Linked DNA regions of Neurospora crassa OR74A. The protein of the gene in region 1 purifies or fractionates together with the protein of each later gene. This does not show direct contact. Links are inferred from orthologs where the notes say so. Each region holds a gene or a part of one and is shown on either strand. Other genes may lie near its edges. The genes, in order: NCU03148 and NCU06226.

Evidence for each region.
Region 2: the proteins of NCU03148 (region 1) and NCU06226 purify together in Saccharomyces cerevisiae (affinity purification with western blotting; 3 studies listed by BioGRID, with this or other methods). This does not show direct contact. The link is inferred for Neurospora crassa OR74A from reciprocal best matches to the Saccharomyces cerevisiae genes EGD1 and RPL25.

The regions. Positions count from the first base shown.
Region 1 is NC_026501.1:4,725,071-4,728,603, forward strand, and holds NCU03148 (nascent polypeptide-associated complex beta subunit), read left to right. Parts: upstream 1-1,255; 5' UTR 1,256-1,368; coding exon 1,369-1,424; intron 1,425-1,735; coding exon 1,736-1,908; intron 1,909-2,099; coding exon 2,100-2,329; 3' UTR 2,330-2,801; downstream 2,802-3,533. Other genes in the region: NCU03147 (assembly factor cbp-4), read left to right, coding at 1-104, 305-444; NCU03149 (tRNA-specific adenosine deaminase, variant), read right to left, coding at 2,966-3,533. UniProt on the Saccharomyces cerevisiae protein: Component of the nascent polypeptide-associated complex (NAC), a dynamic component of the ribosomal exit tunnel, protecting the emerging polypeptides from interaction with other cytoplasmic proteins to ensure appropriate nascent protein targeting.
Region 2 is NC_026503.1:1,964,842-1,968,444, reverse strand, and holds NCU06226 (60S ribosomal protein L25), read left to right. Parts: upstream 1-1,282; 5' UTR 1,283-1,458; coding exon 1,459-1,483; intron 1,484-1,709; coding exon 1,710-1,774; intron 1,775-1,852; coding exon 1,853-2,145; intron 2,146-2,206; coding exon 2,207-2,294; 3' UTR 2,295-2,785; downstream 2,786-3,603. Other genes in the region: NCU06227 (hypothetical protein), read right to left, coding at 1-879; small zinc finger protein Tim8, read right to left, coding at 3,227-3,402. UniProt on the Saccharomyces cerevisiae protein: Component of the ribosome, a large ribonucleoprotein complex responsible for the synthesis of proteins in the cell.

The DNA.
Region 1 (3,533 bases):
CCCGGAGCTGCAGAAGAGGAGTCTGGAGAGGCGGTTCGAGCGTCAGCAGGAGTTTGACGACTTTGTCACCAAGTTGAAGGAGTACTCCAAGTCTGATAAGCCAAGTAAGCTTTCTTCCCTCTGTCCCTTTTTGTCCGTCTGTTGGCAATTCTGTTGGAGTTTTTGTTGGGATGGAGGAGGAGATGGATAGAGGTGGGGATTTGTTTGCGGATGTGGATAGGAAGAAAGAGGGATGGGAATGGGCAAAGCAAGATGAAGATGGAGATAAGTGAGATGAGTAGCGTGCTAACTTTGACTTTTCTAGTCTGGACGGTTCAGGCCGAGGCCGAGGAAAAAGAGAGACAGCAGCGGGCGTCGGTGCAGAAGAGTCTGGCATTGGCGGATGAGGTGAAGGCTAGGAAAGAGGCTATGAGGCGTGAGGCCGGTCTTCCGCTTGAGAAGTAGTGGTTAGGCTAGCTTTACGTTGGGAAGTGGTCATACGTAGGCGGTTTGGGTTGTAACATCATGATTCTGTACAAAACTACTGTGTATTCTAAGATGGGTATTGAAAGAGAAGGCGTTCAAAAGGGTCTTGGGTTTTTAGGACGGAGATGATTAGCTTTTGGTTCCAAAGTCCCATGGTCTCGAAGTTGTGCAATATCACGATGTTCTCTGGAAAGACTGTTTGCTGCTTCGCTTTTCAGAAATGGAGGGTATAGGACCATCATCCAACCTAAACTATGTAGTGAAGCGAGCTGTCCCATGTACAACTACGTTGGCAGATATCATCCTATGAGGGACCTCATAACAGACGATGATGTCAAGTCCCAAGGTGAGGCGAGTTTACTTTCGCGGTAAGCAGGAAACAAGTCAAGGTGAGCACCAAAGCAGGTGGGGTAGAATTTTGATGTGGTTCCGCTAGCTGGACATACGAGGCCCGGCGTACAAGACCTATTCCTCAACTTCCGAAAGCAGATGAGGATGAAGCTCAATATCAACACTATATAGATTAAAGGTAACTCCCGGTGACTGTAGTAGGGTTGTTTACCTAACCGTTTCGAACCATGCCGTATAAGCTTAACATGGCGGCGGGGGTGTAGGTATGTGGAAAGTTTCTTGAAGGACAAGATTTTAAGTATGCACGGGCCAACTGCCCATCCAGCACCGCCGCGCGACGCTCACACATCACCCCTCTTCTCAGCCAGCAGCATGAACCCCCCAGCCCGCAAAGCCCAGAGCCCACACTACCGCCCACAGGTCCTTGATGAGGTCCCAGCGCCAAACTAACCCTGAGCTCTAAGGTTCACCGAGATCTCCCGCACCTTTCGCTTTTTCCCCACAACAGATCAATCTCACATCCTCTCATCACCAAACAAACCGCCAGCAAAAATGTCGGATGTTCAGGAGCGTTTGAAGAAGCTGGGCGCCTCGGCCCGTATCGGTATGTCGTCGCCCATGTTTTCGCTCTGTAGGATGAGGTTCTGTTCGACAGGCTAACAAAGGTGCTTTCCCTCCGCTTTAGGGTATGTAGAAATTCAAATATCACTCGTCAATCGCTCTCGCACACAACACGCACAAAAAAACGAGCCAGCACCGAATTACCCCTCCATTCTTTCGCGCGCGCGCCCTCGATTGTCTCCCACACAAAAAACCTCCCCCCGCGAGCCCAGCGAAAGGCGATGAGCAACGTGCAGATGCAGACAAAATGAGAGGCTTTTGATTTCTGACAATGGACTTTTTTTTCGAAATGAAATAGTGGCAAGGGTACTCCCCGCAGAAAGGTCAAGAGAGCGCCTGCCCGCTCCGCTGGCGATGACAAGAAGCTCCAGGCCACCCTCAAGAAGGTCAATGTTCAGCCCATCCAGGCCATCGAGGAGGTGAACATGTTCAAGAGCGACGGCAACGTCATCCACTTCGCCGCCCCTAAGGGTACGTACCAATACGCCCAGTTTCAATTTCGCGATATGGACCCCCCTTGACTGGGCTTGGTCCAAAATCGCCAGTATGCAAGAGTGTTATGGCCTACTTAGTCAGGCGGCCTCTTGACATATCGCGACAGCTAAGCTTCAAACGTTGGTTGGGGGCTTGTCTGCTAACAAGTTGTGTTTCTTGTACCACAGTTCACGCCGCTGTCCCTGCCAACACTTTCGCCATCTACGGCAACGGTGAGGACAAGGAGCTCACTGAGCTCGTCCCCGGTATCCTTAACCAGCTCGGCCCCGACTCTCTCGCTTCCCTCCGCAAGCTTGCCGAGAGCTACCAGAACATGCAGAAGAACGAGAAGGACGCTGAGGAGGATGATATCCCCGATCTCGTTGCCGGCGAGAACTTCGAGAGCAAGGTCGAGTAAATTACAAAAAAATAAAATACTCCCTCTCTCTGTTTGATTCCCCCAAAACGCGGTCTTTCCTATCTTCAGATTTGCGGTGACATTTATCATGGCGTGCTGCGTTGGGGAAATCACGGGGTCTCTTCAACCCGTCCTTTAGTTGTTCAATGTCTTCTCATGATGGCTTATGAATCTATGTGAAGCTGGGAAATGCTCTTCGGGCGGCAATGTTGATGTCATCTTCCAGCTCAAAGAGAAAGGATGTTACTTGGTACATGTGGCAACGAGGCGGAAAGACGTGTTTAATTGTCTTCGTCCATCTCGGTTTGCTCCTGGACTCTTCCAGAGAAAGACTGCGGTTGAAATGATGGTTATAGGAACAACGCATTCTACATCAAAACGATGTACATAACCAAAACCAAACAACTGACCAAGCGCTGGAAAATGGAAAAAGCTTCTTGGCCTCTCGAACCAACATTGGAGAGAAGTACGAATCAGGAATCGTGACCCATATGACAACGAGACAAAGATGATGTGGAGACGAGACATGCTGTGCATTCAAGTGCGCAAGTGAAATGTCACTCATTCACGCTTTGTATAGTGACCACATATCTCCCAGCAATCCTTCTCTGAATCGTTCCTCAACACTCCTTTGATTTACTCAAGTTTAAAGCTTCCACCCCTAGTATTCCTTACCCACCCTTTCAACGCCACCCTTTTCGTCTCCTCCTTTGCCCTCCGTCTCCCCTCAAGCAAGCTACTTCCATCCTTGATCTCATCATACACAAGGTTCGTACTTCCCAGGACTCGCTTGATCTCGCCATCGTCGTTGAGCGCCATCATCGAACAAACCTCCCTCGCCAAAGTCCACATCTTCCGCCGAGAGACCAGACTCGCTCCCCGTAAATCAAACTGCTTCCGGCCCTGCAACACGCCACCCACCAAACCCTCCCCATCGCGCGGGCCGTTGAGCGTCCATGATGTCGCAAGGTTGCTAGCTATGAGCTTCTTTGGCTTTGTGTCCTTGACGTCTGCCATGTCCGTCATATCTTTAGAGGAGGAATTATTTGGAGGGAGTATAGCCCTCCTAGAAAATGCAAACTCCATCTTCGTCGTCTCAACCCTAAACTCCCGAAAGACATATCCTGCAGCCTCCAGCTTCGCGCTCACGCTCGTGTCAAGTAAGGGTGCCATCCGCCCCCCATCAGCAGATGAAGAAGAGAAA
Region 2 (3,603 bases), on another chromosome or scaffold:
AGAACGTAGCTCTTCCTTGCGAAACGGCCTGTCGTTTCCAACCTGATCTGATGTTCTCCTCCACAGGTAATAGACCAGCCGTTGGGTTGTCTTGGATTCCACCATCTCGTACCCGATCGATTCCATAATAGCCGCTAACCTCTCTTGATCCAGATATCGCGAGTTGGTGACGCATGGGGCCGGTAGCACAAGGAACAAACTTGGAAAGAATGCAGCGGTTGTCCCGGAGAACCGCTTCGGCGATGTTAGAAATTGTGTCGTGCGGACCAGCATCTCGCCTCTGTCCTTATGGTCTGGGACAAAGTTGAGCACCAAAGAAAGGCTGATGATGTCAAACTTCTCCGACTCGTCCTTCGGCAACGGGCGCTCCATGAAGTCCTGCTCAAGAATCCCAGGCTCTTGGCTGTTGAGATCGATCCGAGTGATGTCGAAATGGTTACTTTGAGCACATGCGTTCTTTGTACTCAGCGCTCCAACTTCCAGCATGCGCAAGCGGCCTTCCTTATACTCCTCGGATGAGAGGTACGGCCCAACCCACTCCATGAGCACGTTGGAGCTGTCGCCGCCTCGGTCATGTCTCTGCCCCTGGAGACTTGCTTCCTGATATTTCTCGATACCACCCAAAGCCTCGATCTCCGCCTCAATTGCCGCGACCTGTGTGTTATCGTTCTTCTTCATAGCCTGCACCTTCCTCTTCTCTAGGAGATGGAGTTTGTTGATGATGGATTTCGTGGTTTTCCGCGCAAGTGACTTGGGCTTTGTGACCGTGGGCGGACGGCCTGCTGCCAGGTTTTTGACCACTCCCTTTTTCTTAGGTCGCGTAGCCATGGGCGGACGCCCAGCTGCAAGGTTCTTGCTTACTCCTTTCTTGGGTGCCATAGTCCTTCGTCGCGTGCTATGCTGTAACAAGTATATAGCCGCAAATAGTCGATCTTGTCGATACTGTGATCCGTCTCGGTGAGATTGGTTTTCGATTTCGATTGGTGGTTCGTGACACTGTAGTTAGCAAGACAACTACACCACGTCCTTGTCTGGAGGTCGTGATAGGCACAGAACAGCGAGGCTTGGAGCTGTGAAAATCCAAGGTGTCCTGCACCGACTTCATCCGACAGACCACGAGCAGAAGGAGGAAAGCTGGATCGGAGGGCGCATCATGACCTTCAAGGTTGAATGACGGAGTGCGTAGCGATAAAGTGATGATCGGAGGTCGAGATTCAAAATACTGTGGAGCATATTTCGCGAAAGTGGATATTCTGGTGTGGTTCAGAGCCCGTTTGCGCCAGTTTGCGCAGCTCAACCCCTGCCAGTACCACTTCAGCCACACTACCAAGCCACACAAATCCCGCGCGCACACTTTTTCCTCCCCCAAATTTTGGCCAAAAAGTGAACTTTCTCCTCTCCGACAACGACCAGCGAGAATCCCGATTTCTTAGCCCGACGACAGCAGAAATCGCAGCAATGGCCCCTAAGGATACCAAGAAAGGTACTTGAAGAAACCTCAAAATCTCACCAGCGACGATTCCACCAAGAATGAATTGAACGGCTCGACAAATATGCTCGCCCCGCGCACAATGCGGATCCTCCGTGTCGCGCAATGGCATTCGGAGGTGATGCACCAAAGCAGCAGCAGACTTTGCGAGTTTGGACAAGATTCTGGCATCATCTTGCTCCAGGCGAATGCTTTTGCTGACGAGGGACTCTATGGATAGGCGGTGCCTCTAAGGCCGGTAAGGGCGCTCAGGCCAAGAAGGCTGCCCAGGCTGCCCTCAAGGGTGTAAGTTTGCGACGACTCGCGATCCCTTCCCCCCTGGTGACGTTCTGATGCTGATTAGAGTTCTTTTTCTCTGTTTAGGTGCACTCGCACAAGAAGACCAAGGTCAGATACTCGACCACCTTCCACCGCCCCAAGACTCTTCAGCTGTCTCGGGCTCCCAAGTACCCTCGCAAGTCGATCCCTCACGAGCCCCGTCTCGATGAGCACAAGGTCATCGTCCACCCTCTCAACACCGAGGGTGCCCTGAAGAAGATCGAGGAGCAGAACACCCTCGTCTTCATCGTCGATGTCAAGGCCAACAAGGCCCAGATCAAGCAGGCTCTCAAGAAGCTCTATGACATTGACACCGTCAAGATCAACACCCTGATCCGGTTAGTTTTGGTCCCTATGGACCGGCATTAATATGGTTCTTGTTGCTAACTCCACTCACAGCCCTGACGGTTCCAAGAAGGCCTTCGCTCGCCTCACTGCCGATGTCGATGCCCTCGACATTGCTGCCACCAAGCTCGGCCTTGTCTAAACTAGCGATTTCATAGCTATGGGAAATACACAAGATTCGGGATAAAAACTATCTTCAAGGGATACATGGGTTTTACTGTTTAACGAAAAAGAAGTCGGCGTCTGATACCCCTTTGGCGTTTGGTCCATGGCATGGAAATGAAAGTTTTTATAACTATTCTGCCCGTTCCATCAGACATGACCAAATGGGCCATTATCCAAACTCCTCCCTTGCAAGCCATAGATCTACTTGCTCTAAGACTTGAATCTGACATCTTGTATTCTTGCTATCACCATGGACTCATTGTCGCATTGTTATCTGCACTTCTATAACCAATTATCCTGCACTGCGCATTGGGTCTGTGTTTGAAGATGAAGATGAGTATCCCGCTATCGCGCGCTCCCATATCATGCTACAAGAACCGCCTGTCATACTGTCTAAGTTCCTGAACAAATTCCCATGCCCTATAAACCCTTTTCCCTTCCAGTTCTACCTTTGATCCTTCCCCTGTCCCATCACATATATCGTACAAGCCTTCAGGCGTAACCGTAACAATTCCTCGAATGACTGTCTCTTAGAATTGTGACCAGAACCTCAATCGCAAGCCCTATCGCAGGGATCAACAAAGGTTCCCTAGCAAAGGGTGCTTCTCTGTACCCCCGTTCCGTCGTAGTAAGCCCGAGTGTACCAGACCCAGCCAGAACCACCATGAAAACAAGCGTCGGATACCTCGGCCGCATCCTCCAAGTCTCCCAAGAAGCCCACCAAGCAGGACCAGCCAACCGAAAAACGTAGCCAGCCAGCCCCGCGGGACAACCAGTTCCTCAAGGGAAACAAGTCACCGTTTTCGCCATCCTCCTTCCTCTGCCTCCTCTTTTCTTTTTGTCCCGTTCTCATCTTTTTTCCTCCTCCTGATAAGCATCCTCCCACGCCTTCCTATCGGCGCGCGAGACCTACTTGCTGCCACCCCTGGTGATCTTTTGCACGTGGGCCATGATGGTCAGGTTGACGTCCAGGAAGCGCTCAACGCAGTCCGCCATGCAGACGGCCTCGGTCTTGTCGAGCTGGTTGGTCTTGATGGGGGAGGTGACGCATTTCTTCCAGCAGGAATCGGTAAGGGCGTGGGTCTCTACACGTGGGAGGTAGCATGTTAGTTTATCTGTTGTACATAACCACTGGGAGGTAGAGTAATGTGGGAAGAAGCATATGGAAGGGGGAGGGGACAGAGAGAGGGTATGGTTTTGGTTATGGTTATGGGAGGGGGGAAAGAGGGAAGTGGTAGGTAGGCTTAGCGAGGGGCAATAAGCTGTATTTGGTCATGGTAGAGGGA